2 linked regions of the Rhinolophus ferrumequinum genome follow. The main gene of each other region encodes a partner of the protein of the gene in region 2 in a complex. Links are inferred from orthologs where the notes say so. Each region holds a gene or a part of one and is shown on either strand. Other genes may lie near its edges. The genes, in order: ARL3 and CFAP36.

Evidence for each region.
Region 1: the proteins of CFAP36 (region 2) and ARL3 are in contact, whole or in part, in a crystal structure (PDB 4ZI3), measured with the Mus musculus proteins. The link is inferred for Rhinolophus ferrumequinum from reciprocal best matches to the Homo sapiens genes CFAP36 and ARL3. Residues at the interface, in NP_080016.1 of Mus musculus: Glu44, Glu45, Ser46, Lys47, Leu48, Thr51, Glu52, Lys58, Val61, Glu62, Leu65, Glu76, Phe79, Gln80, Cys83, Thr84, Ala88, Lys89, Leu97, Val100, Leu101, Ala103, Glu104, Asp105, Phe106, Thr107, Ile108; in NP_062692.1 of Mus musculus: Leu3, Leu4, Ile6, Leu7, Arg8, Lys9, Leu10, Lys11, Ser12, Arg19, Lys35, Glu40, Pro47, Thr48, Gln49, Gly50, Phe51, Asn52, Ile53, Lys54, Trp66, Ile74, Tyr77, Ser80, Tyr81.

What each region holds. Positions count from the first base shown.
Region 1 is NC_046299.1:22,364,816-22,380,771, reverse strand, and holds the start of ARL3 (ADP-ribosylation factor-like protein 3), read right to left. Parts: upstream 8,513-15,956; 5' UTR 8,464-8,512; coding exon 8,461-8,463; intron 2,343-8,460; coding exon 2,199-2,342; intron 1-2,198. Other genes in the region: SFXN2 (sideroflexin-2), read left to right, coding at 14,293-14,453, 14,636-14,806, 15,766-15,864. UniProt on the Homo sapiens protein: Small GTP-binding protein which cycles between an inactive GDP-bound and an active GTP-bound form, and the rate of cycling is regulated by guanine nucleotide exchange factors (GEF) and GTPase-activating proteins (GAP).
Region 2 is NC_046296.1:32,223,920-32,240,420, forward strand, and holds the start of CFAP36 (cilia- and flagella-associated protein 36), read right to left. Parts: upstream 6,390-16,501; 5' UTR 6,165-6,389; coding exon 6,050-6,164; intron 5,212-6,049; exon of another isoform or gene 5,180-5,211; coding exon of another isoform or gene 5,158-5,179; intron 4,321-5,157; coding exon 4,256-4,320; intron 3,642-4,255; coding exon 3,540-3,641; intron 1-3,539. UniProt on the Homo sapiens protein: May act as an effector for ARL3.

The sequences.
Region 1 (15,956 bases), on a different chromosome or scaffold from region 2:
ATGTCTGAATGGACATTATAGGTGATTTCTAGTTTCTCAATTTTACTTATTTATACTTTCTAAATCTATAATGAGCATCGATTACTTTTTCTAATATAAAACAAAAACACAATAAAAGTTTATTTTTAAAGATTATGAAAACTTGACGTAACATAATAGGAGTCATCTATAACACACCAAACAAAGCCTGAAAGTTAGAACTGGAACTTTGGGCCCATAACTTTGAGTTCATTTCCATGCTCACAGTGTAGAAGTTCTATTTTACTGGTGATCTTGACAGACACAGCCTATCATTCATCCCCCACTCTCCCCAAAAAACCCCCCCAAAAACCAACTAGCTCTTCTTTTTTCTGGCAGAAATTCTGACACACTAATATGTGTTTCCAGCCCTCCTAGGCTAGGCTACTGTAATTTGCTCCTCACTAGGCTATACATTCAATTTGTTAAGAAGCTGTAGAATTGCTCATTTCATTGCAGCTGAAAAGACTTTTTTGCAGAGTTTTCAATCAGTAAGACTCCTAGGTCGTGATGTATATATGTATGTACTAGCACAGCCATTCAAACCTGACACCAAGCTCTTGCCATGGTATGGTGACAGAAAATGCCAAATAACCCTGGTTTTGCTGAAACTACTAATGCTCAGACACGTTAAAGTGACTAAGACCAACAGGGCTGTCCCTAATTAGGAAACCCAAAGGCTTGGTCAGAGGTCAAACTTTCTCAGGATTTCCTACAGGAAAGGAGGTCTAAAGAAGCTGACTAGAATTCTTCCCACCTGGACTTGTCTTTCAACTTCTACATGGTGAGCACCACCATTGCCTTATCTTTTATGTTTTGCTTGCTTAGCCTTAGAAAAGAGGAGGGTTGATGAGGTTGGATTAAACAAAAAAAATATAGGTAGGGCCGCCCCGGTGGCTCAAGCGGTTAGAGCTCCATGCTCCTAACTCCGAAGGCTGCCGGTTCGATTCCCACATGGGCCAGTGGGCTCTCAAGCACAAGGTTGCCGGTTCAACACCTCGAGTCCCACAAGGGATGGTGGGCAGCGCCCCCTGCAACTAAGATTGAACAGGCATCTTGAGCTGAGCTGCCGCTGAGCTCCCGGATGGCTCAGTTGGTTGGAGTGCATCCTTTAAACCACAAGGTTGCCAGTTCGACTCCCACAAGAGATGGTGGGCTGTGCCCCCTGCAACTAGAAAACGGCAACTGGACCTTGGAGCTGAGCCCTCCAAAACTAAGACTGAAAGGACAACAAGTTGAAGCTGAACGACACCCTCCACAACTAAGATTGAAAGGACAACTTAACTTGGAAAAAAAGTCCTGGAAGTACACACTGTTCCCCAATAAAGTCCTGTTCCCTTTCCCCAATAAAAAAAAAAATTTAAAAAAAAATTTTAAAAATCTAAAAAAAAAATATAGATAATTTTTACATTTATTTTTATTTAAAAAATTGATATATATTTGTATTTATTAAGTCTGAAAAACACACACTAAAATATTAACAGTGGCTTTTCTCATAGTACTCTTTGGTTTTCTCCTTTATACCTTCTCTGTATTTTCTACACATATTAATTTTTTTTTTTTTTAAGGAGGGCATAGCTCACAGTGGCCCATGTGGGAATTGAACTGGCAACCTTAGTGTTATTAGCACCACGCTCTAACCAACTGAGCTAACTGGCCACCCCCTACATGTATTTATTTCATAACTAGAGAAGATAAAGCTATTTTAAAAAAGTAATCACTTAGATTGGAGGGAATTGTGTCTTGACATATATATATCTGAATTATTTAAAAAAATATAAAATATACATAAAATTAAATTTACCATTTTAACCATTTTTAAATGTACATTTCGGTGGCATTAAGTACATTTGCACTGTTGTGCAACCATCACCTCCATTTACCTCTAGAACTTTTTCATCTTGTAACACTGACTCTTTGTGCCCTTTAAACAATAAATCCCCATTCCCCCCTCTCCCCAGCCCTTGGTAACCATTATTCTACTTTCTATGAATTTGACTAAATATCTCATGAATGGAATCTCTTCATATATTTTTGAAATCTTAGGTTATTTTTAAACTGTATAGACTTTTCTCAGTAACACACCTTGGAAGTGGATAAAACTGTATTTCCCATTTTGTCTTTTGCTATTATCATCTTCCATGTGTCCCACAAGCATTAGGGACCAAGACAGTCCTCACCTGTGTAGGTGTGATGTGGCTGATGTCTTCAGATGCAAGTTGCTTCAGAAGAGTAGTCTTACCAGCATTATCCAAGCCCAGGAGAAGGAGTCTCACCTCCTGGTCTGGTGCACTTTTCAATTTGCGCAAAATTGAGAGTAAGCCCTTGAACAACCATGAAGAAGAGAGATTACTTTGGGGTACTGACTTTGATATTACTGAACATCAGAACATCTTCTTCTCTTTGAAAAAAGTTCTTGGTTGTGGAGAGCTTAGTTATTATTATTTCCACTTTAATATCATTTATTCCATTTACTTCCCCCTTCTGAGTTTTGGTAGAAGTAGGTTAGTAAATTCAGCAACTTAATAAATAGCATGGCTTATTCCTCCTATCAATCCAGCTTAGCAGTCACCCCAAATCTCCTGGAAGTATAAACTACTACCCAACTTGGGTTCCTAAAGCCCTTTATACAAACTCCGCGTATAGCACTCATCATATCACACTATAGGTAACTGACTTTTGTATTTTTTTCCTTTACTAGAGTGAAGTTTCTTGTGGGTAAGAATTACATTTTCTGATTCTCACATGCCTGGCACTTACTAGATTGATATTACCGTGTTTCCCCGAAAATAAGACCTAGCTGGACCATCAGCTCTAATGTGTCTTTTGGAGCAAAAAGTAACATAAGACCTGGTATTATATATTATATTATATAAGACCGGGTATTATATTATCTAAGACTCGATATTATATTATATTATACCCGGTCTTATATATTAAAATAAGATCGGGTCTTATATTAATTTTTGCTCCAAAAGACGCATTAGAGCTAATGGTCCGGCTAGGTCTTATTTTCAGGGAAACACGGTTTATAATTGTTGTTGAATTAAATAGAATTATCCACCTAAGTTAATGCAAGATTTAAAGGTATTATACAAATAAATACAAAAGTATAAAATTGTATCTGGGCTCTCTGTTTAAGACTTTATTTCAGTTCATGTTTAAGACTTCATCATTCAAAATACCATCATCTAACTCTCACAAAGACCCTAACAGAACAGTGTACAGTATGGATTATCTGTTTTTCAGATGAAGAATCTGATACAACAAGAGAAGTTAGGGAATTGTAAAAGTTACTCATGAAGCAAAAAACATCAAAAGTTAATCACGGTATTTTTGACTAGTAACCTAATAGTTCTGTTTCTTGGTTTTACAATTGCTGTTTTTTATGGATGGAAGTAAACCATGTTGCTTTTTACCTAGGAAGTGGAAAAGTCTTGTAAGACTTGTTCAGTCCTGCAGCTGACACTCTTGTTCCAATGAGGCATGATTACAAGACTCAGAGTCCCAGAGTTTAAAGGACATATAATCAAATCTCCTAGCCCAAGCAGAAATTCCTTCAAACTGAGTCTTAGAGCTATATAAAATCGTATTTTTTTTATCTGCATCGCACCAGGTAATAATTCACACCAGTCTGTTCACTAAAATCAAATAATAATTCTGTGAAACAATTCTCAACAACTGAGTCTTTGGACAATGATATGCAAATATGCTTAATTATTAAGAACTCCTTTCTCCTTAGAGACTCTTTGATTACCACTCCTAGTACTGGATTTGTACTGACTTGTTAAGGACATTAACTTCTATATGCCTCACATTTTTCCAGCAATAAAAGGGAACATTTGGTTTAAGACAGAAAGACAAATTCTATACCAAAAGATTTGGGGAAGACAGGCTGAATAGATCTGAAACAAACAAAAAGGATGAAGACAGGCAGGTCTTTTTAAAGGCACATTTCTTTCGTTTTCATCTTATCTGGCCTTGAATACTTCGACACCGTTCCTTTTTAAAACTATATTTATGAGAAGTCTCCCTGGCTTCTGTTAGCTACATTGCAATCACTCATTTATAATACCACCTTTCAGAACAGTTAAAATTAGAATTCTGCGATCCTCAGGGGACAGGTGATAAAAAAAGGCTAAGAACACGGAAAACACATTGTCCTACTCCTGAGTTCCTGATTAGATGTCCTCATTACCTTTCTAATAAAACTCTCAAACAACTAGAATTTATCATATTAGTATATTAAATGACAGTAAAGGTACAGTTTTTCTCATGCATTATCTATTAGCATAGAAATTGTGAAGGAAGGTCTGTTTTCTATAACATATTTTCAAGGTTCAAATGAATGTTTTAGGTTTTTCCTCATATGTCTCTTCTTTTGAAAAATCAGTAAATAAAAATACTGCATTCTGCAAACTGAGACTTTTTTACATACTCACTATATTTGAAATTAAAAAATTAAAAATGTAATTTTTATTCATTTTAAAAGGAGAGAAGCAAAGCACAGATAAGAAAGAAACCATTTTAACTATAGCTAAACTTTATTAACCGAATGGTATAAAAATCAATACTTCGACATTTCTAATGAGTAATTTTCCTTGTTGGGAAACAATGACATCACCTGCTTCACCTGTAAGTGAAATTACAGAGAAATGGAAAGTTCAGCTAATATTTTCTTCCAAAAAAATGATGAATGGCGTCTCAAGCATGGTCTAGGCAAGACAAATGCAAATACAATACAGCATCATATTAACCCAACTACTGAAGACAGAGGATCACAGGATTATCAGGGTTTGCTAAATAGGGAAGAGGATATTTATAGACATTAGGGTTCAGCCTAAAAGGTACAAAGTAAGCTGATTTAAGAGGCTGGAGAAAGACAGCAAAATAAGTCTATTCTATGCTTCTATTCATATATATATATATATATATATACACACACACATATATATACATATACATATATATATGCACATATATATATATATATATATATCCATCCATCCTACATTTTAAATGTCAAATGAAAGGAGGGAGAAATTAGAAGTTAATTTTATTATGGAGCTAAGTTTTGCAGCATAAATACAAGGGAATGGATTTTTAAAGTATATTTTTGGTCACAATATCCATCCATCCATTCATCATTAAATAACATAATGTGCCCCAAATATAACAGTGAGCAAAACAGACATGACCTCTATGTATGATCTGTACTCCTTATGGCATTAAAAGTCAATTTAAGAAACAAGAACTTCAGTTAACTGTAGATTGTGTGTCATCAGCATGTGTGTATACAAGTTATCTGTACCCTGGTGGACAGAAGTGATCTGGCTCAGCTACAAAACATTTAAACAAACTTTTCTACATGCAAATCGTGAATAGATGTGCTATTTACTATAGACATTTTATCTGCTTCAAAATCAGCTTAAATTCAACTACTGGCAGAAGTATGGCGCACTGACTTAAAATGATACAAACTAGGTCATTCAAAGAAACTGGTGTGGTACAGGGGAAAAGAGGGATGTGTTGGCATATGGGAAAACTACATGTGGCTGTGAGAAGCAGCTAAAATTTAAACATCAAAATTAGTAAACCAACTGTCAAGTATATGCACTCTCTATAACTAGTTTAAATGGAACCGACTTCAATTTACTTATACCTCTTTAAACTAACAAAAAATTGGTGCTGCCCAGTGAGATGTTATTTTCAGGAACTCCTCTAGTTTTGATAAAGGGAACATCACCCAAACTTTGTCTTCTTTCTCCTCATCTCTATACTAAATAAATACAATGTTTCCTGAGGAACAAAATATGGGCATCTCTTCAGAAAGCATGGGTTCCACTTCACTAGAGTCCTAATGAAAAAAACATTGCAGGCTTTAAAGTTTCATAGACTTGCAGTGGACTTCTCTATATGCATAACACCAGGCACAGTTAGATATAGAAAAATGGAAACAATACTTATATCTTAAGAAAAACGCTATGAAAATTAAATGTGTAAAGCAGGACACATAGTAGGCACTCAAGACAGTAGTTGTGTGTTTTTTGTTTTTTTACTTTTCACTGAACATTTTCTGATCAGAAAGCATCACCTTGAGAACAATATTCAAATGTTGAACATGCTTGATAACTACCGCTAGGTTTATATGTAGAAAGTACTCCATAAGTAATTCGTGAATGAAGGCGTGATATATTAAATAACAATGATTAGTTATGTACTGAAATTATTGTCATCTTAGTATTTCACCAACGACTTGGTATTATAAGGCAGGGGTAAAACTGCTGATGCTAAATATTCAGAGAAACCAATGGGTTTTGTTGCAGTATTACGAACTAAAAAAAAAAGAAAAATTATGTCACAGCTGAGGGCTTAAAAAAACACACAAAACCCCCCCCACAAAAACCTGGGACTTACTCTTCAGTTGTACAGTTCTCAGGGGGGCTTATGGGATACCAGATGTAACACACTTAATCATACCACTGGCTATTTAAATTCCATGTTCTACTTTCTGTTCTAAGAATAGCTCACACTTTTGAAGATAGAAAAAAAAAATGTATTTTGGAAACCAGATAAAGAATCCAGAATAATTTGTCCTAATTTCTTATTGTTCATTTTAGGAAAAAAGAAAAACAAAATCTGTCTTGATCACTTAACATAACAGTTGTATACAACAGTGTTGTGTACATTGTCAATTTGTTGTATACAGTGTCAATTTGCACCTGGAAACATAAGCAGTATTTAAATTATTGTGGTCTGTAATTATAAATTAAACAATCATGAAATTATACTCGTACAGTCCACTTAATTGATAAACAAACTGGGAAAAGTTAGGTTACTCTCATGCATTTCTCATTTATGATGACATCTAATTCTGTTGGTTTGGCATGTCTTTTTCATTTCAATTGTAGTTATTTTCTGAGTAAATATTTATATTTATACTCATTTTTGTGGAGAAAAACAGCCTTTAAATGGACAGCTCATGTATACACGATTAATAAAAAGAAAACATGTAAAAACTTGTTTAGCCTGAGGTTAATAAAACTGCAATGTAGTAAGAGTGAAATGTGAATGTGATTGGCAACTTCCGATCAAATAATTCTACTTCTTTAACAATCTGACAATGTAAAATCAATTGAGGTTTTTTTTTTTTGTCCTATCGAAATTTACTCATTGGATAATCTGACCAAAGGTACACATAGTTTTTCCTTGTGGACATCTAGCTTTTTCTTACTTCGTAAATCATTAGAAGTGGTTCAGCATTTCTAAAAGTCAAAAAGGAACTGGGGTTAGGGTAGGGAAGTAACTAATCTTGAGTGCTTGCTCTTTACAGTTGGTAAGCCAACAAACCTGCTCTAAATGCCTCAAAATCAATTTTTCTTCGCTTGCTCTAAAACTCCTCAATTCCGATTTTTTAGCGGCAACTATAAAAGTTTACTGATAGATTCCAGTAATACTCAATTCCATTTTAACACCCTCCAACTAACTTCACAGAAATCAACAAAGAACAAACCTGCCACACATCATAATTTAGAGTTTGGGAAAGCTTTCATTAGGTCTGACAGGGAAAAGGCTTGCCTCAAATTGATGGCCACTCTCCAGTTTCAATTTCCCAATTCCTTTTTAGTTTGGAGACCTTAAGCTTAGATTGGTTCTGGTGTAGTCATAGGCAAAAGAGGGCTGCAACAGGTTCTGAAGGAAATACTAGGGATCGGGCAGCAAATTTGCTTCCATCAACATGGATAATTGAACGGAAGATTGGTCATCACCATCCCCCAGACCTTGCAGAACCCTTAGCAAATAAATAATTCCGGACTGCAGAAGCACACCCGCCACGCAGACACCGAGGCGGCGTAAAATCTACCAGGCATCTCTTCCAAGAGGCGCATGTTTTATGTGTCCTGGGATTTACAACCCTCCCTCCAGAGACCCGCACAACGAGGAAGAGGAGCGCTAGGCTACCATCTCCCGTGGTACCGCCAGGGCGACCGCAAACGCAGTAGCGCTGGCCTTGCTTCCCGCTTCTGGCCCGCCCCTGGCGGACCCCACTTTCCTGCGGCGTAGGGAGGCGGATTCCCTTGGCAGATATAAGCTTGCGTGCGGAAGCTGATCTTCGCAGCCCCTCAGATCCGCCCTCATCCCAGCTCCCCGAGTAATGATGGAGCCCCGACTCCGAATGGGGACAGCCACGCACCCTTCCAGCCCTTTCCCCTGTCTAGGGATCCGTTGCAAGCCCACCTGCCTCCCCAGGCCCAGGTCTCCCTCCAGGGCCCACACCTTCCGGGCTCCCTGCCGTCCCCCGAAACCAATCCTGGACCCAGACAGCAGGCTGAGCGCCGTCCCATTCCCTCCTTGGCTTTAAGCGCAGTGCCCCGCCCTGGGCCTGGGGACGGGAGGGGGGTGACCGATCGGCTCCGGAGGGGCCCAGGCCCCTACACTCACCATCCTCCCGCCGAGTCCCACCTCCTCCTCCTTCTTCTCCTCCTCCTCCTCCTCCTCCTCCTCCTCCTCTTGCCTCCCCCGTTACCAGGGGCAACTACTGCGGCACCGCCCCCAACGTCTCTCGCACGCACAGCGGAGGATCAAAGCAGCAGGACGGGGCGGGGTCCAGCTCCGCTTTCCCTTAAGTGCGCAAGCGCACCAAAGTGCCCGCCCATTGCGCAGGCGGGCTGCTTGAGAAGCAGGAGGTGGCTGCGGGCTTGTAGAGACCCGGGAATGGTGACAATTCGCCCACGTGGCCTGTGGAGGCTACCAGGCCTGTGATTGGTCAGGAGGGTGTGGGGGCGGTTCCTGGGCGGAGTTCCGCGGTGCCCAGGCCAGGCTTCCAACGCGGGCTTCATCTGGTGGCATTTGTCTCAGTTCATTTCTCCCGGGACGAGGTAAGTTGTCTTGGGAGGTCGCCAGCCACATCTACCTCCAGTCCTTACGTCCTGGGACGGAGCTTGTGTTTCTATCCTGACTGCCCTGGCGGGGCTGCAGCGCGGGCTGGGCTTACTCTTGCCGAAGCCACGTGGCGAGAGGAGTGGCCTGGGACTGCCCATGGACCTCTCCCTTAGGCCCCAGCGCCTTCGTCTGTCTTTCGTAGGGATGGTGCGTTAAGGGCTGCGCACTCATCTCCACACACCTGTGTTAGTGCGGGATGGAGGAGTCCCAGTGGTGGGAGGCTGCCTGTGGTAGCGCAAGAAGCTGCCGGGGGACTGGCCTTGAGTTCTTAGTGAGCTGACGGCGCGGGTGAATGGCATTTTGGAATGGCCAGGTTTTGCTAAGTTACGTTTGACCGAGAGGTTCGCCTTCTGCGGTCCTGAAGGAGGCAAAAAATAGGCCTACACTTCCAGGCAAGTAAGAGCGAGAGGGATCCGGGGTGAGTTGGGAGGTGTTACCTCCCACTGCTTCCCCATGCAGAGTACAGGAAGAGTTATGGCTTAGGAGCCAGGTCGTATTCTAGACTCTGGAAACACAAGAGCTGAGAAAATCTAGCTTCGTGGAAACTACATCCTTTCTAGTGAAATGCTTTTCCCACAAGATTCCATTTCATTCTCACAACCCTGGAAATTGGTTGTTTTAAGTAATATAGAGTGGGGACTTGAACCCAGTTCTGTTGATTCTTGAGGAAGTGCTTTTAAACACTATTGTAACGTTCAGGTAAGAGGAACAGAGTGGTCTGTATTTGCAATGGAAACCCAAAACTTTTTTAAGAGCTGATACAATGTGGGTGTAGATGGTACACCTGGAACTTTGCACATGTGTGTATGAGTCTTACCTATCTCACTGGGTTCTTGTGAGGATTATATGAATTATTATGTCAAGTTCATAGAACAATACCTGGCACATAGGAAGTGCTATATAGGGTTTAGCTGTTAACAGCCATAACGTAGTGTTGGGTCAACGATGGACTGCATATATGTTGGTGGTCCATGAGATTATAATGACGCTAAAAAATTCCTATCGCCTAGTGATGTAGCTGTCCTAATGTCATAGCACAACTCATTACTCACATATTGTGGTGACCCCGGGGTAAACAAACCCACTGTGCTGCCAGTCCTATAAAAGTATAGCACATACAGTTATGCACGGTACGTAATACTTGATAATAATAAACCACTATGTTACTGGTTTCTGTATTTGCTATGCAATGCTTTTTATTGTTATTTTAGAGTATACTCTTTCTACTTACAAAAAAAGTTTGCTGTAAAACAGTATACGAAGTTACACCAGCAGTAGCCTCATCATACATCGTGTGTTTACCATGATTGCATCATATTTTCTTGGACTTAGTGTAACCTCATGTTGTTTTGTATAGTAACATGCTGTATAGGATGTTACATGTCGCCTAGGAGCATAGGCGGTGCCGTATAGCCTAGGTGTGTGGCAGGCTGTACCCTCTAGGTTTGTATATGTGTAAGTGCTGTCTATGACATTCGCACAATGATGACATTGCCCAATGATGCATCTCTCAGAACATATCCCTGTCATCAGTCGACACATGACTGCATTAATAGTTTCATCTAGGTTTTTTGGCTTTGCCCCTCTTCCTATCAGCAGATTTTCCAGTCTACTTAAGATAATTGGAATGAACGCATATTTTTCTCTGAATGGTCCTTAGCTATTTATGCATTCAACTAAAGTATTTTTTTTAAACATCTGCTACCTGTGTGCCTGCTTTAGATCCTTGGAGAGAGAACTCAGTTAAGAACCTTGACTAAGGAGATGCAAGATGAATGGTTCATTCAGAGCATCACTCCAACAATCTACCCATCTCTAGCCTGTTGGTTCTTTTGTGAAAAAGGCAAGGCAGACTTCCCTTTCTAAGTTGTTGCCTTGGGGTCACATGAGTGTACGTAAGCATATACCTAGACCTGCTTGTTTAATTATTAGTCTCAATCTCCAACTTGCCCTAAGCAGCCTTGACATTAACCTTCCCCATCCAGTGGTCTTTGTGTCTGACCTGAGTCTTTGATGGCTTTGATCTTCCTCAGATGTGAGTACCAGCAATAATGTTTCGTTTTTTTCCCTACTTGGGGATACAAACAGGGACATTTTGGGTACTTCCCCTCCCTTGCAAGAGGTTACTCCAGAGGGGATTTGGAAATCTGTTCTCTGGCTCTGATACTTTGCCAGAGAAAATCAGGTCTCTCTGAAGGGATGAGCATTACTTCGGGAGATGTAGTAGGTTATTTTATTTTTTTCCCTTCCTCTTCTCCTTCCCTTTCTCTTCCTCCTCTTCTGACTTCTCCTCCTCCTCCTCCTCCTCCTCTCTTTCTCTCTCTTTCTCTCTTGACAAGTATAACCTGTAGTAGATAGCGGACCTATCTCGATGACCCTAAGCCTTGTGACCTTGGGAAAGTGAGACCCTAGCTATTGTCACATCTTTGGATGGATAAACAGGACTGGATCTGTGTGTGCCACCGATGCTCACCATGCTGGCTCAGTCAATGTGAATCTAGGCATTAGTTTCCTCTTCTATGAACTGAGATCTTTGATCCCTAATGTCATTGAGCTGCGACATTCTCTAATCTTAGAAGAAAAGGGAGTTATCAGTCAATCACTGTTTGATCTCTACCTCCCCCCTTGTTCTCAGTCGTGGAACCATATTCTTTCATTAGTGGGGCCACCCTGGACATGATAGTGACTTTTTTAGGGAGTACTAGATGTGGTTCATGTGGGAAGAAGGAGAGAAATTGGAAGAAAATGTAGAGACCAGATAGGATGCGGTATAGGAGAAGGAGATAATTTGCAGCTTTGTGAAAGAAGGCCTGCTCTTACTTCTGTGACCAAGGCAGGTTCTGAGTTTGATTTAAAAGAGGTGACATCCTTGATGCCATTTGAACACAAGGATAAATTGGAATGCATTTCAGTTAGGCAGTAAGTGTCTTTAGAGGGCAGATGGAAGATACAGCATGAACCTTACAGCCTGTCAGGTAAGGCATACTTTACACAAGTAACTGGAAATAACAAGGAAGTGACAATTACAAAAGCCCAACCTGCTTCCAAGGAGGACAGGATGCTGTGGACATGTGGAACAGAAGGGCTGAATTTGCATGGAAGGAGCCATGGAATTGTGCCCATTGCCAGGCAGTGGTGTGGGGGGAGATGTACCAGACATACATTTTTTTTTTTTTTTTTGCCTTTTACATAAGACAGGGATTAGGCAGTTCCTATTCTGACCTTAGTAATGAAGGCAAAGGTTCTTGCATAATTTAGCAAATGATTACCCCTTCATGGTAGAAGAGCTTCCCTTGTGAAAGGCAGGGCTTTCCAATGTTGGGTCAAGAGTGAAGAGAGATGTCTGAGAAGTGAGTGTGTGTGTGTGCGCGCGCGCGTGCGTGCATGCGTGTGTGCCTGTGTATTGAGGGGGGAGACATAGCATTTTGCTCTGCTGGGTTGTCTCCCGGGACCGCAAGTGTGGGGCTCTGTAAGCCAAGGCAGTATGTGATCGGGCCGACTCCTTTTAGGTACATTTGGAGTCAGGGAAAGTGAATGCTTTCCCCTTTCCCACTCCTGGATCAGTTAAGACTGGGTGAAATGCCTTTGGTCTTTGAACCAGCCTGCAGGAGGCCAAGCCAGCCTGTCCCTGGAATGCAGAGCCCAGAGCTTTCCCATGGGCTCCGTGGTGCTCAAGCTGTGCCTGCGAACTTGTCATTGTCTACGTAATAGAAAATTCTCAGTTAAGGTAATATTTTCAAGAAAAAAGACAAATGACCTAGTAGTAGAAAATGTAAGTTAAATCTGAAAATTATTTCTTAAAAAACAAAAAAGGATGAGTGGGTGTTATTTAGTGAAGTGGGGAAAGAGTAGCATTCTGGGCGGGCAATGGCATTTGCGAACGACCTGAGACAGGTGGCAGCCTATTGCATTGAAGAAAGTCCCGCGGCACTTGAAACTCACCGCATGAAAAATCACTCACTCTCACCCTGACCTCAGGTCACTGATGGGTCTAAGATGAGTTGTTGAGTTTTAGTTTGTTCAGCTTATTGCAGGGACAGGAGTGACAATGTTCAAGCTGCATACGTGTCAGACCTGCCTTAGTTTTTCAAGTCACGGATTCCAGAACCCAGTTATAGATGTGAGTTCTGAAGTAAATCAGGCTGAATTAAACTCCTGCCTCTGTCAGTGGCTAATGCTTGTGTGACTTGGTAAAGTTACCTCTCTGTGCCTGTTTTCTCATTCATGAAATGGGGTTAAATTAAAGATTATCTCTTACAGGGTTATGGTGAAGATGATTTCAGAAAGTGTAGTCAAAGCACTAAGCAAAATGACTCGCATAGAGTAGGTACTCAGCAAGTGTGAACTGTTACCATCCCCACACGCACTGTGTGCTTTCAGCAGTGGCTCTTCTTTTTGCCCGGAATGCTGCTGTTCCAACTCTCTGACTTCTACACATCTTTCAAAACATGTTTATGTCTTGTACTCACGAAGCACGTGCAGAATCCCTCATCGATTTTAGATAAGGTGACCATGTAATTTATCATCCGAATTGGGACACTTTTGAGAGTGAAAGGGGGTGCTATTAATACTCACCCCAGGCCAACAGGCCCAGCAAACTGGGAGATGCGGTCATCTCTGTTGTAGATGCCTCTTCTCTGACTGGTCCATCAGCAGCATTGTTCACACTGCTGTCCAGGTTGATTTACTCGTCTGTTTACCACCTATTCTGAAGTTCCTTTAGGGTGGATGCAGTGCCTCACTCACAGCCACGGCCCGGGATCTGTCACAGCGCCGGAGGCACCACACACACAGACACTCAAATGCTGAACGTCATTGTGCCGTGTTCATTTCCACCTTTATTTGTGGTGGTTTCCACCTTTAATGTGATCCCATGCCTTCTACCTCCTTCAGATAAATGTATTCTATCTCCTGGGGCCTCGCTCACATTCCACCTCTTCTGGGAAGTCCCCTTTGATTACCGTGTTTCCCCACCCCCATCTCTGCTTCCACTCATCCCCTGTATTACTGTGGGGGCACGTATTGTGTACTCTTCCACTGGTGGGCTCTTTTTCCTCGTCAGACTCACCTCCCAAGGACAGGCGCTGTGTTGTCCCTTTTCCATCTCCCCCACAGCATGATCAAGCACAGGGCTGGCCACCAGTAGGCACATAGGAAGCACATGCTGGTACCCGATTCCTCGGTCTGGTGACCCTTCCCAAACTGTTAAGTGATGCCAGTGACTGGTGAAAGCGGGAGGTCTACTCAGTGGGAGGTGTTCAGAGCAGGCTTTGATTTGGAGGACTAATTTTTCCTGTGTTCCTGAAGTGTGCGGTTCTGTGCGTAAGCGAGATGGAGGCTGACCTGTCTGGCTTTAACATCGATGCCCCCCGTTGGGACCAGTGCACTTTCCTGGGGCGGGTGAAGCACTTCTTTAATATTACGGACCCCCGCACTATCCTGGTACCAGAGCGGGAGCTGGACTGGGCCAAGGTGATGGTGGAGAAGAGCAGGTAAACGACTAGGGGAAGGGGCTGGAAGCGTTGGGGCAACACTCATGGGTCCCCTAGGGAGGAGGTGGAAAGTGAAGGTGAGGGAATAGGCAGAGATCTCGGGAAGGGGGGAGAAATGAGAGCAGGATGACTTGGGGTGGGGGGACAGGGAGGTAACTCTGCCTGTTGTCCTCGGGTGGCAGGAAGGGGATGGTGCCCCCAGGCACCCAAGTGGAACAACTGCTGTATGCCAAGAAGCTGTATGACTCGGCTTTCCACCCTGACACCGGGGAGAAGATGAATGTCATCGGACGGATGTCCTTTCAGGTCCCTGGTGGCATGATCATCACGGGCTTCATGCTCCAGTTCTACAGGTGGGACCAGAGAGCAAGGCAGTGGGAGGTATAGCTGCCTGGATGTGCTAGGCAGGGAGCCGTATTACAATGGTAATAATAGCCATCTTGATTGATCCCTTACCAGATACCAGACACTGTGCTAAATTCTTTGCATGTATTACCTCGTTTAATCTTGTCAACAATCCTACAAATGGGGTACTATTATCATCTCCATTTCATAGATAAAGAACAGGCTCTAGAGAGGTTATATAATTTGTCCAAGTTCACACCGCTGGGAAATATGGGTACCTGGATTGTAACTGAGGCAGTTCTCTCTAGAACTGTCAACGCATAAGCAATCCTAGTTCCCTCTTATTCACCAATGAGTTTAACGTACTTTTATCATGTAATATCCCAGTAAAAAATTAGGAAGACCCTTTAGCCCAGTTGGGAGAGAATACACTTTGTTTGTAGCTGCTGGATGTGTGACTCCTTCCCCTTCCTCTCTTCCCTCTTCCTTCCTCCCTCCCCCATGTATTCATTTGTCCAGTTATCGAGCCAGGCCGTGGGAATATAGAGACTTTAGTCCCTCCTCTCAAGGAGTTCCCAGTTTTGTTGAGGAGATCAAGAAGTAAACAGTTACAGCCCAGCTTGCTAAATCATAAACTGAGGAGAGAATACGGGGTTGTGGGAGCAGGGAATGCGGAATGACTATGTCTTACGAAGGGCAGGGGAAGGGTCAGGAAGCGTCCAAGGAGGACCCCATCTCTCAACAGCAGGATTTAGCCATGTATGGAACAGTGTGTGTGTGTGTGTGTGTGTGTGTGTGTGTGTGTGTGTGTGTGTGTGTTCCTGGCAGAGGGGCGAGTCTATGCAAAGGCCCAGGTGCATAAAATAGCATGGGAACAATTTAGGGTACAGCAGGTAACGTGTTTTGACGGGTGTACACCAAGCCCTCCCTTCCATCCTCCTCCTCCCTGTGTCTCCCTTACCGGTAGGACGATGCCGGCGGTCGTCTTCTGGCAGTGGGTGAACCAGTCCTTCAATGCTTTAGTCAACTACACCAACAGGAATGCGGCTTCCCCCACGTCCGGCAGGTAGGAGACCTGAACCCCATGCTGTCCACGTGGGTCTGGAGCAGGTGGCTGTCCTTTTGCCTCAGAAGGAACAGCCTTTCTAAGGGATTCCC
Region 2 (16,501 bases):
TTCTGGAAAAGGCCACACTAGAAAGACAACAAAATTATCAGTAGTTGCCAGGGGTTTAGGGCAACAATGTGAAGGATGAACATGTGGAGCAAAGGATTTTTAAGGCGGTGAAATTATTTTGTATGATACTGTAATGATAGATATATGACATGTATTTAGCAAAATTCATAGAACTGTACAAAACAAAGAGTGAACCCTAATGGAAACCATGGACTTCATTTAATAGTAGTATGTCAATATTGGCTCATTAACTGTAACAAATACATTACACTGATGAAAGATGTTAATATTAAGAGACTCTACTATGTGCTCAATTTTATGTAAACCTAAAACTGCTCTAAAAAATACACTATTAATTTTTAAGACTCTTTCTAGCACTCACACAAAATATTGCTAATTATCCTGTGTGTATTTTTAGAAAATGAAAGTATACCACATATGTAATCTTTACAGTGGTCCAAACTATTGGCGAAAAAAGCATCATAATTTTCCCAAATTACTATTATTACAAATGTTTCAGAAAATGTTAATGTCTACCTTATAAAAGTCAAAGCAAATCAAGTAAAAAACAAAAACAAGAGGAAAAATATTGTCTCTTGCTATATATTAATATAAGTCCCTGGCTTTTGCAATACATAGAAATCAGTGATGAGCTCTCTCATCAAAAAATCACAAGCAATGGAGAAAGTCACTTTTGCCTGTTTCAACTGGAAAATACCACAGAATTACAAAATTCATCTGACGACAATTAAAACAATAAATATCTCAGTCTTTGTCTTATTTTTCTTAACTGTTTAGAAAGATATCCTAAGTCATGAGCATTTTTAAAGAATCCACACATACCTAATAGAAAGACATGCTCTTAAAAAGTCTGTTTTTTTCTTTTTTTCACACTAGTGTCCTTCATCTAATTATGGTCATGAGACCTCTTACTACTATAGCTGACTTTAATAGACAAAGATTATCCAGGACCAGTGGTCTAGATCTAATGATGCCCAAACCAAGGGTAAAGAATTTTTCAAGTTGGCTTTAGCAATGCGAATTCAATGAGAGCTGGCGGCTGGTTTAAAAATCAAAATCAAACAATGCAAACGAAAACAAAATAAAAATTACCTCTTAAGTTACCCAGGGCAAACAACTGGTTTTTTTGACTTTGTTCTTAGGCACACCATATTGGCATAATGGAAATTAGCATTCTGATCGTTATGTAGAAAGGTGGTTGCTGCAAAGCAATACATAATGTGCTTTGAGCTGTTTTTCTGGTAATAATTACAGCCTTGGGCTAATTCAATCATGTTGCTATTCAGCATCTGGTGCTAAAGAGTTTGCTCCAGAAGAGAATAAATCTAACTAGTCCACATGGGGATTGAACCTATGACCTTGGCCTGATTAGCACAGTGCTAATCAACCACCAAAATAGCTAATTAAGAGGTGCTTCCATTTATAGACCACCTTATATATGTCAGGTATTGTACTAAATGCTTTATGAACCTTATCTCTTAAATCTCACAAAAACCTTTCTAAGTTGATACTATACCCCTGTCTATGGATGTGGAAACTGAGAATAAGAATGGATAAGAAAGGAAAACTGACAAACAACTTTTGTCGGGAGTCTTACAGCTAGTAAATGACAGATCTAGGACTCAAATCCAGGTCTGTCTGTGTTGAAAGAATTGCCTCCTTGTACTTATCAACTCCAAATAAACCAAAGGTGTTGCAGAATAAAACAAAAGACAAAGATGTGTTAGTCTTGATCTGAAAACAGTATTTTAAAATTCTGGACAGCTTCACTCACAAATAATGTAGTTATTCTGGTAATGAAAGCAAAAGATGGATGTATCTGCTATAACTGAGAACATCTTTATTCACAAAGTAATTCAGGCTCATTCACAATGGCTTAATTAAAAGGTTGACAAATATTAACCAAAGCAAAAAATATTCCTGAAAAACAAGGAAAATAAAAATAAATACCAAAGTCTTAAAAGAAATTTAAATACTAGTTAATAATTTTCAATCATATTCTTCCAATTCCACTAAAAAGAAAATAATGCCTATCATTCCTCCTTAAACTAAACCTTTGGTACATTTAGAACAAAAGCTATTGGTAAACTGTAAAACAACTTTTGGTTTATAGAGTTAACTAATAAAATCATGTTTGTTTACATTAGTGTGGGCATACCAATAACTTTTAATATTTTTTAAATGTCGTTACAATAAAGAGTTGCTATCTTTAGAATTACAGGTGGTCATTCAATGAGCAGTTGTACAAAAGAGAAATGTAGCAGGAAGTGCTGGATTAAACAGAAGTCAAAGCAACCTCTTCTAAGCCACAATAAAAAGATAATTTAACAAACATTTATTAAGAACTACCTACTAGAAACTAAGTTCTCCTCTCTATGCTAGATGCTGAGAATGCAAAGAATGAAAATAGCTCAAAGGATTTACAATCTAGTAAGGCAAACAGACTTGTAAGAAACTGTAATTTAAGGCAAAGCACCAAAGATGTAAAAGTGCCCAGTCCGACTAGCGCTAGTAAGACTGGGGAGATCAGGAAAGCTGACTTAAGAAGTAACATGTCAGGCAGGCCCGATGATGGGAAGGATTTTTCTGGGTAAAGGAAGGATGGTGGAGTGGGGAGGTGGGGGCTAAACATTCCAGAGTAAAGCAATAGCATGAACAAAGCCAAGTGCATAGATGCTTACAAGAATGAATAGCCTGGAATGACTGTAATACATAATGTATTGGAGAACTATAGCAGGAGAAGGCTGAAAATAAAATTTGAGGTCACATCACTGACAATTCTCACTATCATCTCATTAAGAAATTATAGTTTATTTGGTAGAAGCTGGAAAGTTCAAGCCACTCTTTGAGAAGGCTCTTTGGGTAGTGGTAACGTATCCCTAGCCTCAATCTCTGAGGAAGGCCTCTCAGTTGGAGTGCCTGGTCTGGTAACCCGGTTCCACCACCTACTTAGCTGTGGACTTTGCACTAGATGCTTAATGTATTTGTGCTTTACTTTTCTCATTTCTAAATGGAAGTAAAATAGTACCAACTTGTTAAGGAGTGTCAAGAAAGTTAAATGAGATAATACACATCGAGTGCCTAAACCAGCAGCTAGCATAAGCCCTCAGTAAATCTAAGTTATAAATACACGATACCTACTTCAGCCCAGCACTGCAGAATTAGTAAGACAATAAAAGGAGTTCCAAGAGAACGAAGCCCCAGGAACCATGTACTGTGAATCTGCTAAGATTAAACAAGGGGCAACTGCAAAACTATCAGAGATCTATATAAGTAAAACAGTAATCTATTATAGTTCTGAGTTCAGAAAGTTCCTTTTTAATTGCATCAGTTCATTAACGACTCCAGTTATCATTACTAAAGGTAGCTATAAAACAGAACCCATATGTGATGAATTAGCTTTTCACTCTTACAATGTCTACAATATTATACTCTGACAATCAAACACAGCAAATTTAAGTGAAATTCTGGGCATTTTTGTCAAAACTATGTTAGCAGAATAATACAAAAGCAAAAACCTGTGATGTACGGGTCTTTGCAAGAGGAGAAATGCATGCTTCTTGAAATTGATCTTCATTAATTCCAATTTCTTTGAAGTAACTTTCTAACAATTTCTCAACCTAAAAAGAGAAAGTTTAACCTTAATAATTTATATAGAAAAGTTCCAAATGACAGTTTTCATGTTAAGTATTGAGTTTAGAAAAGTATAAGGAAATGCTTGTTTGCAATTATTAATCCACATAAAATTATATAGCAGTGACAATGTCTTTGATGGAAAAAAACAACAAAGGTTAAAATTTTTGCAGAGTCAAATGCAATTTTATTTCCTCTATTAGAAATAACTCCTAGAGGATTATGTCAGGATTATGAAGTTGAATGAGGTACAACTCTTCTGCTACCCATAATCACTTTTAAATCACAAGATAACCATAACTAAGTTAATAATTAACACTTCCCTGAATGCACAAGTAGAAGAATAAAATTTAAAGATTAGATGCAAGATCCCTTAACATGGTTGTCCTAAATCCATTCCTTAGATTCTAGAGTAGAAGACATACGAAGTCATAAGGATGAAAACCCTTGGAGTCTGATGGAACTGGTAGATTGAACTATTAGGGTAGACTGAACTTTTTAAAAGAACTTTAATGGACAAATCCATTTTTGTTTAATCTAGAAAAGCTAAAATTAGTATTATTCTAATTAACTTTAAATATTAGTAAAAAAGTATACTCACTAGTTTTCTGTATTCCTGATGAATTTCTGTATAGGTCAATTTGCTTTCTTCTTCATCATCAAAAACTAAATTTAAAAAATATATATTGCATAATGTAAAAAAAAATCATTAATGCAAATATAAATGTCCACTCCTTATATCTTACAAATAGATAATTGGATATATACTCACAAGTCAACATATTTTTATGTGTGTACACACACATACATACTGTATATAGTGTTAATTCTAAACAAGTTATTTTTCCTACTTAAGATCTTCATATATAAGACAAACATTACATTTCATTCAATAATATAAGACAACAGTTTCTTTATAAACTTTTAATGGAACATTATTGTTAATAGTTTTTAAACATTAATTCCTTTTACAACAGGCTCCAGATTATTTTATTGTACTGGACCTTCGCTGATGCAAATTTTACCAAAAGTGAGTAGGCCATTTTTATTTCATATAAATCAATAATGAAGTTAAAATAAATAAAACCAAAATAAATGTTTACTGAATGATAAGTATGAAACAATGTGGATTAGAAAGATATATATTCCCTCAAGAAGCTACAATCTAATTAGGGAAACAGGACAAATTCATGAATTGTAAATAATAGTCTTTTTTTAATCCCCCTTGGATCATCTTTTAAAAATGCAAAACTAACTTCTGTAATTTTTGATTTAAAACTCTTCAATGACTGCTCTTTGCCTAGAGAATAAGTACAAGATCCTTAGAAGCCAGACAAAACCCTCCAAGATTGGACCCCAAGTCTCATATCCCACCACTCTAAAACCCAAACTTTGCACTCTTAACAATACAGAATTACTTGAAATACCACCAAACATAATACATATGGTGTTTCAAATCCCCATGTCTTTGCTCAGGCCAGTCCTTGATCTTTTTGCCTTTACCTGGACCCCTTTCTCCAACCATTCTTCAAGACATTGTAAGTGGCACATTCTTCATGACCTGTTACCCACTCCCAACTCCTAGGCTGGTTAGATGCCTTCCTCTGAACTTTTATAATACAGCACCATGTGACTACCTTTATTATAACACCTGCCACTTTACATTTAAATTACACTTACCTACCTGTCTTCCCCACTAAACGATAAACTTCTCAAGCACAAAGATTTTGTTTTATTCATTTTTCTATCCCCAGCTTCTGGCCCAAGGACACTCAATAAATGTTTGTTGAAATACATGCTGACATCACAAAGTTATACAAAACTCATCTTTAAATTATCTGAAGTGGACAACACACTGACAACCCAAAGTCAGTGATGTATGTAAACACTGTTAATTTCAGTGTTACTGGGATGTTACTTAGATTTCCTCTGGCATCTGCTCTATACAACACTAGGAACACATGCAAAACAGACGCTGTTTTCAGCTAAGTCTGAAACCAAATTGGTCAACTCTTGGGATCAGAAGGAACTCAGAGGTAAACTGACGCCTCTCCTCCTAAGTCACAAGGAAAATTGTTGAAGAAGCCCACCTAAACTGCACTTGTCCAGAGGAGAAACGTGCAGGATGGGGTGTGAGACCCAACACAGGATTAAAATCTAATGTTTTTCGGATGTGTGCTTGGGCCCAGTGGTAGGGGAGTCTCGGTCCCCGTTTTCAGTTCCATGAAGGAGAAACAGGCGCAGTGACAGCAATCTCTCCTACAAACCAGCTCTAAACCTGCCCGACAGAGGTGGAAATCCAGGAGATAAAGATGGTTTGTGCGGACCACCTCCCTGACGACTGCTGATATAAGAGAAGCAAGAAGAGATTGTCGGTTCGGTCTCTGGTTTTTACCTTCACATTTCTGCTCCACAAAGTCCAAGATGGGGATGGTCCAGTCCGGGCTTCGCAGGAACCCCGCGATGCTCTCCACGACCCATTCTGCGTCGTCCTCTTTTTCCGCAGCCATCCCGCCCCCGCGGACCGCGGCAGAACCTTAGGCCAGACCCCCGGAGCCTGCTAAGGCCTTTCCGCCGCAGGGAGCCTAGAGGGAATGGGCGAAAGGAAGAGTTGCCCCCGCAGTCGCCCCGCCACCTGGAGGAAAGCTATAAACCAGTTAACGTATAATGGTCGCTATGGCAACACGCGCAGCCGCCCAGAAGTGATGCCAAGTTCCCCGAAGCCTGCGCATTTTAGACAGGGGCATTCGAAAAACGTTTCCGATTGGCTGGGAAAGAACAGTGGATCAAAAGATAACCTTCCGCCCATTGGCTTGCCGTTGCTAAGGCTAAGCGTAGAAGCGTAGCCATTGGCTGAAGGTCCTAGCAGGGCTTTCCGCGTTCCCTCTTCGAAGTGCTTGGTAGCCCAAGCCTAGAAATGGCGTGGTGAAGTTCGCGTTGTGACCCGCGCTCCGACTAAAAGGGCTTTAAAGGCTTCGAACCCAGCTAAGTGCCAACCATTTTCAACCCTGCTGGCCCAGAAGTGTTTGTAATTAAGAGTTGTTTGAAAATACAAAGTTGAGCAAAGTAGCTCTGTTAAAACTTGCTAATTGGCTCTGCAGTCTTTGCATCTTGTAGCTCCAGGTGGGTAGTTAGCCTTTCTGCATAAATGGAAATAAACTAGAATTAGGAGCTTTTCAAGGGCAAAATCAAAATGATTATTCATTTAAGTAAATGTTTTACTTGAGCAAATCTTAGGTCAAATAACACCAGGGTCCATGGTCAAGATGCTTGGCGTCCCAGACTATCTTCAAACAACCTTATATACTGACATAAATAGTGTCGTATGTACAGTTACGGAACTTTTTTCACTTTTAATATAGTCATAGTTTCATATAAAACTCCTTTGTTTATAGTACATAGTATTCAATATAATTTATTCCATTTTTATTTTGTTTGTGTATACACAAAATATCATACGTGGATGCATAAATATGATCAGTAGTGTGCAGGTTTTTTTCCCTTTTTTCCCCCTCCCTTGATGTGGGTGTATTCATTTTTCCCCTTCTACAAATTACTGAAAAACACATTTTTGTGTCTATAAAAGCTGTTGGTTTTATTAACTATTCCAAGGCGTAGATTCTGGCAGAATGGCTAAATGAAAGAATTGACCAATTCTCAATTGCTAGATTTAATGACTGCAGTTTTTAAACTCATTACCAATTATATAATGAACATATTTGCACATATAGTTTTGGATATCAGTCTCATTTCCTTTGAATAAATTTCCAAAGGGAGAATTAACCTATTTTTTAAATTCTTTTTGAAAAACATCTTTGCCATCTTTGCCAGGTTAAAAATGATGCATAACTTTAATTTGCATTTTTAAATTTGAAGTTGAGCACTTTCATGTTGATTAGTCTTTGTGTTTCTTCCTGTGTTAACTTTTCATATACTTTGACCGTTTCTTATTCTTCTTTTCTTCTTAATGATTTGTAAGAGTTTTTTACACATTATAAGAATTTTAACCCTTTGTTGCATGTTGCAATGTCATGTTTATTATTTGTCTTTTAATTTAGTTCACTATGGCTTTTGCCACATAGAAGTTTCATATTTTCCATATAGACTTTAAATGGGAGGTAATAAGTATTTTTTTTTTTATTGTGTAGCCGTGCCTCAAACACCTTTTGCTGAAAATGGGTGTGGTAAAGTGTTATGGTTTTTGAAGAGGTAAAAAGAAAGAAGGACATCATCATTCTTAGGCTAAAATAATGTGATACCAGAGTTGGATTACTCTGGTTTATTGTTCTGTTTACTAAGTCAGCATAAAATGGAAATCCCACTTTTGTTCTGAGAATTTCCTCTTTTCGTAAAGCAGTTGCTTGTATGGTTTATAATGAGGCGAGAGGCCACAAAGTGCTATTCAACTGTATTCAGCGTTACTTGGCATTAGAGTCTTTATGTTCAGTGTTTTCCAAGTGTTTTCCAATTCCACTAGACACAAGATAACTGGGATACACACACTCTCTTTTCACTTATTTTCTCAGCGTTGTTCGTGAATGTGAGCAGTGTGGATTCGCTGTAAGTTCTGTCATGTATTTCAAAACATTTTATTATTTCAAATTTCTCCTCAAAACTTAAGGCTTTGCTTTTTACTCAGTACTTGGGATTCTTATAATCAGGATGCTTATGCAGGTTTAATATGCATACTCAATATACTTATCATGAAATAAACACAAACTCAGAAGAATAGTGCACAAGCTCTTGGGTCAATGTATATGGGTATATTGGAGTAAGAGTAAGAAGATGAGGTGGGTGTGTGTTGTATAGTTTACCATAGGTCACTTCTTTCAGTCAGGAAGTGTTTTTCATGTTTCCCAGTAGTGCAAACATAGTCATCTCTTAAAAAATCACAACTTCTCATTTTGGCAATTTTATTGCTTCTTATCTACTACATGTGAACAAATTTTCATATTGAGCATATGTATTGTAAAAGAAGAAACTGAAATAGACCCCCAACACACACACATACACACACACACACACACACACACACACACACACAGATATATACAGTACTTTTACCATCTGGTTGATAAGAGTTCTATTTAGAGAACACATATAAAAGGTACTTGGGACCGTGGTTGGTAGTAAATGCTCAATACATATTAACTATTTCTATTGTATGTAATCTAGGTGTTTTGTTTTCTTTTTTAACAACTTGCAGCGTGGGTATAAGAAACCATTCTCTATTTTGCCTTTCTCCTTTTACTGGCAAGACATTTATGTTCCTTACTGCATAACTACTGAAAATGCTTTCCCCCATCCTCTGTATGGGAACTGAGCCTTACTAAAAGTTTAAAATGTTCAATCTTAATAAGATGGCTGCATTCCTCCAGGTTTTTGAGGGACCATGTAAATAACAACTACTCACATTTGTGTAGTGCTTTATAGTTTACAAAGGGATTTATATCTGGTTGACTCAGTGCAACCTTAAGAGTTAAGTAAAGATGGCATTAAAATTTTCCCCATCCTATAGATGGTGCATTAGTTTGCTAGGCCCTATAACAAAGTACCATAGACTGGGTGGCTTAAACAACAGAATTTTATTTTCTCACAGTTCTGGAGACTGTGAGAAGTCTGAGATCAAGGTGTCTGCATGTTTGGTTTCTTCCAAGGCCACCTTGGCTTCTAGATGCCACCTATGTGCTGTGTCCACATGATCTTCCTTCTGTATCCAAATTTTCTCTTGTAAAGACATCAGTTGAAGATCAGAATATGATACCCCCAAATATGCCATTTTGGCATATTGAGTGTTTTGAGCTGAAGGCAACTGAGAAACAAGCAGCCACAGGAAGAGCTCTCTGCTCTCCCCCATCTGCATCAAAGCAGAGCATAAATTTCCTGTGAGAAAGATACTGTCCCTATACCAGAAAGAGGAGAGGAGAGGAGGGCACTCTTATTACTAGAGATGAGGAGTCAATGCTGAGATGAGTCTGTATGAACAGATCTTACTAAAATAATCCTTATCTTCCGTTAGAAGTATCTTAACCCTCCCCATATATTTCCTAGTCATTCACACAATTTATCAGCCCTAGGAGCCCAAATCCCCATTCCTTTGTCTAGTCACTTCTCCACAATTTATCACCCTTTGTTAAAATGATATGTAAGCCCCCAACTGTTTGCTCTTTGACTTTTTCACTTCATTTTTGTGAAGCCCCCACACACATAAAAATTTTAATACTAACAAAATTGTATGCCTTCTCTCCTATTAATCTGTCCTTTGTCAGTTTAATTCACAGGACCCAGGAACTAAGCTTAAGAGCGTAGAGAAAAGTGTTTTTCCTTCCTTACAATAGTCATATTGGATTAGGGCCCACTCTAAAGACTTCATTTTAGCTTAATTACCCTTTTAAAGGCCTTATCTCCAAATATAGTCAAACTCTTAGGTACTAGAGGTTAGGACTACAACATACGAATTTGGGGGGACACATCAGCCCATAACAGATGGGAAAACTGAGACTATAAGGTCAAGTTTTTCCCCCAGGATCCAAGCAAACTTAGGGCTTGTACTTCCCTTTACTTGATACTTAATCAACAAGGTAACTTCCCATTTGCACTTTACAATCCATCACAGACGTTTTTCCATGTCACTAAAAACATTTCTACATGATCCTTTTTAATGCTACCTAGTGTCTTAGCTCAGGCTGCTATGACAGAGTACCATTTACTAGATATCTTATAAACAAATTTATTTTTCACAGTTCTGAAGATTGGGAAATCCAAGATCAAAGAGTCAGCAGATTCAGTGTTTGGTGAGAGCCCTCTTTCTGGTTGAAAGACAGCCATCTTCTCTCTGTGTCCTCACAGGTCAAAGGGGTAAAGGAATCTCCAGGGTCTCTTTTATAAGGGCACTAATCCCATTTTATGAGGGCTCCACCCACATGACCTAATTCCTACCAAAGTCTCCACTTCCTAAGACCATCACATTGTGGGTTAGGATTTCAACATAGGAATTTTGGGGGCGTGCAAATAATTCAGTCTATAGTACCTACTTTTCCATTGTGTGAGCATAACACAATTTATTTAAATAAGGCTGTATTGATCTAGGCTGTTTCTTGTACTGTTTAAAAAAGAATTCTGTAGTAACCATCCTTGTAACTAAATCTTTGCACCTGGTCTTTACCATTCCTGAAAGTGGAATTACTAAATAACACAGTATGCAGTTGTTAGACAATTGTACCTATAATCTTTTTTTTAAGAGAAAGCATTGTGCATTCTGCAGTAATCATGGTGAAATGCTAAATAATTCTTATCCTTTTTATTATTGTTTTACATCCATGAGTCTATATATCCATACCCACGGACAGATAAATCTCAGATAATTTGGAGATTGTTGATTTAATCATAGGAGGAATAGAGAAATGATTGTGAGTTCCCCAGGAAGCAGACTTTTTAATTTCACAGATGTATTTCCAATCCCAACACAATGTTTGACGTTAAGAGTCCCGTAATGAATATTTGATGAATATGTGAATGATGATTTCAGTATATAGTGCCTCATATTTGCCTAAAAAGAATCCATTTCTCTTTTCTGCCCCTGGGAGAGAGAGTAGAGGTGTGACTACTGGTAGAGCAGATATTTTTTTTAACTTGAAAAAAACATGCTTGCATTCTCGATTAGATGGCTCAAAGTTATTATTAGCAACAGGCATAAAAATACCAATTCAATAGAAGTGTCATTATCATTTGTAATTTATACAACATATGAAACATCGCTGATGAACGACCTAATTGCTACTCCAAATGGTATGAATTTAGCTTTCAAGTAAAGAGAGAAAAAAGGTCATTCCTTTAATCCTATAAATTGCTTTTATTCTGGCTATAGCAAGACTTTTTAGAAGTTCTAAATTATAGGTTCCTTGCAAATATTCTTACTTGATCATTTGGTTTATATAACAGCAAAGGGATTGAGGAGGTTTCTGTGGGCTGGCAAATAAATAATTACCTGCCATATCTTCAAATTCTCCAATGAATTTTTAGATTTTTATTTCATTTGCAGATGTAGCATCACATTTCCATTTTCTTTTGAATGTCTGTTGTTTTTTATTCCTCATAATCTATAAAATATTCAGCAGCTTGATTTAAAATAGCAGCAAATAAATAACAAAAATACAATGACTTTTCAATTTGTGGCTAAACACGTTCATTTGATGTAAAATAGCACAGCTTAAAAACCTTTCTTTATTCGTTGAGTGCTTCCTATATATATCAAGCGCTATGCTAGACAGACACTGAAATAAAGAACTCTGGACATGGTATTCGCAATTCCGACTGTATGATTGTTTGCTTACTTTCACTTGATCTCTAAATGTTCAGGGCCTTTTTTGTGAACTATTTCTTTTTATTTCACCTCCCTTTCTTTATTCATTATGTCTGTTTTCATTGTTTTGTTTATGTATGTGTAGATAATTCTCCTGTTTTACTTTCTTCTCTTCCTGTCTACCTTTTATTACCTACTAAGATGATTCTTGCATTTGTCTTCCATTAGGTTTTCTCACCTGTTTTCCTGTGTGTTCTTTTTTTCCTTTTAACTACTGTATTGGTGACTTTGGGAAGGATAACTAATTTATAGAATATGTTTATACGTGACTTAGATCTGCTTTTAGTTCTCTTAAAAGCATCTGTAACCTACATTAATGGCTTAATTTTTTTGACCAAATACTTTAAATTTTATGACCAAATACTTAATCAGTAAAAAATTATTTACTATTCCCCTTAATATGTGAATATATATTTACTAATGAACTACATGCATGTACATATATATATATATGAATATAAACAGTTGTATAATACACATTTTTTTAAACTTGAAAAAAAATTGAAATTAACAAAGGGTAATATAAAAATATATAGGTTGAAAATCTAATTCTTTTTCCCTGAGTGCCCGTGAATATCTCGTGTACCCACTGTGGAGGCCACTAGTTTGGGCTCAATAAATTTGGTAGTTTGGGCTTCTGGCATAGTAAGGAAGTCAGTGAGGGTCCTATTTGCTCTAGTCCTTTTTAGAATGTTCTGGGAGAAATGTAAAGAAAATTTCAAGATTCTTATTTGGAGCCCAGGACATTGAGATCAAGACTCTCTAACAAAAAAAGATGAGAAAAGCTTCTTCCCCCTTCAGAAGAGATGGAAGCATCCTGATTGGGAACCATCCTGATGTGGGAGGCAGTAGGAAATTGGGCTAATAATGGAACGTTTTTTAAGGAAGGCAGGAAAACACTCTTTTATTTATTCATTTTTAAAATTTATCTTTATTGCTTTCTCTGTTGGAAAGCTAATATATGTACATCGAGGAAAACTCAAACATCATAGAACTACACAACAAAGTAAAAGTCTTCTTTTTTCCTACCACCTAAAAAAAACTGCAAATGGTGTGGTTATTTACCTTCAGATTTTTTTAATGCACATATTAGCATATATTATCTTTAACCAAAATGAGGCCATTCCTATTTCTACAACTTGTTTTTACCTCATTTTCAAAGGATATCTTTCAATATTAATACAAAAAAATTGTTTTTTTAGATTGATGCATGGTATTTCATTATACAGATATTCCTTTAGTTAATGAATGTATTATTTATGCTCATTTCCAATATTTTGCCCTTTTAAACACTGCTACAATAAATATCAGTGTACATGTATTTTTGCATTCTTGCCTGAGTAGTTTCCTAAAACAGAAGTGGAATTCTGAGTTTAAGGATATGAAACATTTTTAGAACAATAAAATTTTCCATCAATGTTACCAAGTTGCTCTCCAAAAGACAGTATTAATTCTCACCAAAAGATTATATGTTCATTTTTCCACACCTTTTCAGCACTAAAAGCATTTTAGTGCTTTTTTTTTCAACTGAAGGGTAAAAAATATTTAGTCATTGTAGTTTGCCTATGTTTAATTGTTAATGAGATTGAGGATTCTTTCATATACTAATTGACCATTTATAATTTTGAGAGCAATGATTTTTTTTCTATTTTTAATCTTTTATTGTACACATTTAAAAACATACACAAAAGAAGCACTGTGCTTCAACAATTTGTCAACATTTTTGCGAAACCCAGACATCATGTCATTTTATATAGGAGTGCTTTTAAGTAAGATTGGAGGATGTCATTTAGTGCCCTTTGACCCTGTCACTCGCCTCTAATTCCTTGGCTAGTCAGCAGAAGTGTAAACTAAAGGAGCAAACAACAGCCAACCCTAGGCATCTTGCCACCGTGAAAACGTAGTTGATGATTCAGGCCACCAGGTGGCAGATCACAGGAAAAAAGAAAAAGGAAAAGAAATCGATACCTACCAGGACCAAACTTCCCATGGCCCAGAGGTCTTAAGGAACTTGGTTTCTTATTAGTATAGGGGACAGTGGGGGAGGGAGGATCAGTCAAAGGCATTCTTTTAAACCATAGTAATATATTTAATTATCTAATAGTAATGTAGTTTATCTGATTATTTTATTATCAGATTAAATATCTTTTATATTTTTTGTTTTTTCCTATGAATTTTACTATTCTTAAGGTCTCCAAAAATAATGTTTTAATTAGAATTGCATCAAAGCTATAAGTTAATTTGAGAAACATCAAGATCCTTATATTTCAAAAAAAAAGATCCTTATATTTCTTTTTCCCATGAAAGAACATGATGTTTTCCCCATTTATTTAAGTCTCTATTTAGATCTCTCAGTAAGAATTGCAGTTTTCGTTATAAAGAATCATACATGTCACTCATTAAAAATTTAGCTTGGGAATGGGTTTATTTTACGTATATTCAAACTGGATTTTGATGATTTTGCTGAAATATATTGATCTTTGCAGAGTAAATGTTTAATCTCTCCATCCAATTAAACCAGCAATAATTTGGTTTAATTATTGGACATGAACATTTTGCCATATATAGTGATAGATATCAAAACGGTCATGGGTAAAATATGATCAAGAAGAGTTTCCAAAGAAAATTGTAATGAAAACATATAAGAATAGAATTGGCATCTAAGTATGGGAATTGCAGCTATATCATTGAACTGCTTTTCAAAGATGAGGCCATTTTACTGAATCCATTACTGTAATTACACTTTAAACTTGCTAAAAGTACGCACTTCAGTATATACCAGTTTTACATGTAGTGTGCACGTCAGCTCCATTATTATTAAAATTTCAAGATTTAGTGGTTGTATTATTGTAACAATACTGCATGTGTTGCTTCTTGTATTTCTTTATGAGCAATTTGAATGTATGCTTGAAAAGTTTTATGGTTTCAAATGACCTAATAGGATCAAGGAATAATTTCAGTGAATTATTGTTTGATTAACAAATTGATAAGCACTATTTTTAGAAAGGTGGGAACAACCACTCATTTGAAGCTAATTTTCATCATTTATTAAAATCATTCAAGTTATAATCTTCAGTAGTTGAGAATAATGGTAGCTGCCTAAATATGAAAGCCAAAAGCTAATTTTAAATGAAATTATATGTGACTGGAATCCAGCTATTGAAAACATTGAAATATTGGACTGACTGGATACTTAAAAAAACTCAATTTTCTATAAAGATGCTGAGTCTGGTGATGGAGGCCATCCTAATAGAGGTGAAAGAGATGACTCAGAATGCTTCAGGAAGGAGCAGAAATGAGATGCTACACTTCATTCAGGTCAGTAACTGAGATTAGTCTAGCATCCTGATAAAATACAGCCTTATTACCTTGATCCCCACCAACTCACAGTTTATGATACAAAATTTAAGTTTGCATTGTTTCTTAGGAAAACATTTTGCTAACAAAATAATATGAACTCAGGAAATAACATAAAACCTGAGACAATCCTTTTTATTTTTCTGTGATCATATCATTTTAAAAATTAATGTAATATAAGATCATTTTTTATTATGGCTATAGATGTTAGCTATTTTTACCTGTTTATTCTTTCAGATAAATTTCAAAATTATTTTCTCAAGTTCTTCTAACGTATTTTTATTGGGATTTTGCCTGATTGCTTTAAGTAAATTAATTGATGAGAGAATGACATTAAAATATTAGTCTTATAAAATATGGTACCGCTTTTCTTGTACTTACTATCTTTCAGGAAAATCTTCTAGTTTTCTTCATATTGGCAAGATAGTTTCATTAATGTCATTAACATACATTCATGTCTGCTGCTATTTTAAGTTAGGCTTCCTTTTTAGTTATATATTTCAAACTGAGCATTATTGGTACATTTGAATGTTGTTTCAGTTTTATATATTTACTGAATTTCCAAGCATCTTGCTAAACTCTTGTTTCCAAGCATCTTGCTAAACTCTTTAAAGTATTTTATATTCCTCTCCCCAAACTGGAAGTTTCTTTTGTTGTCTATTTTCATAATCAAAAGTAATACCTACTCATTTCATTCATGTTACGTTCATTCAAGTTTGAGACTCACTGGTGTTGAGAGCACTGGGCTATCACATGTAGACAGAGGGCTCTTGCCAGCAGAGTTAGGATAATTTAGGCTAATCACGCTCCAGAATATCTGCAAATCAATTTAGAAATAACAACTTTTGCTTAAACTCAGGGGTGCACAGGGAAGATTTTGTGAGAGGAAAAGTCACTTTAAGAGTGTTGAAAATTTTTTGCTGTTAACTCCTGCAGCTTTTGAAGAGGTCATTGTTATGTTGGTGTGTTGGTAATAAAATAGACATGTAATATTAATTGAATGAATGAAGGACTGAATGACTGAATATATATATATATATACATATATATATATATATGTATATATATATATATTCAAGGCATACACATATATATATGCCCTGAATGTATAGTGATGAGTAAAAACAG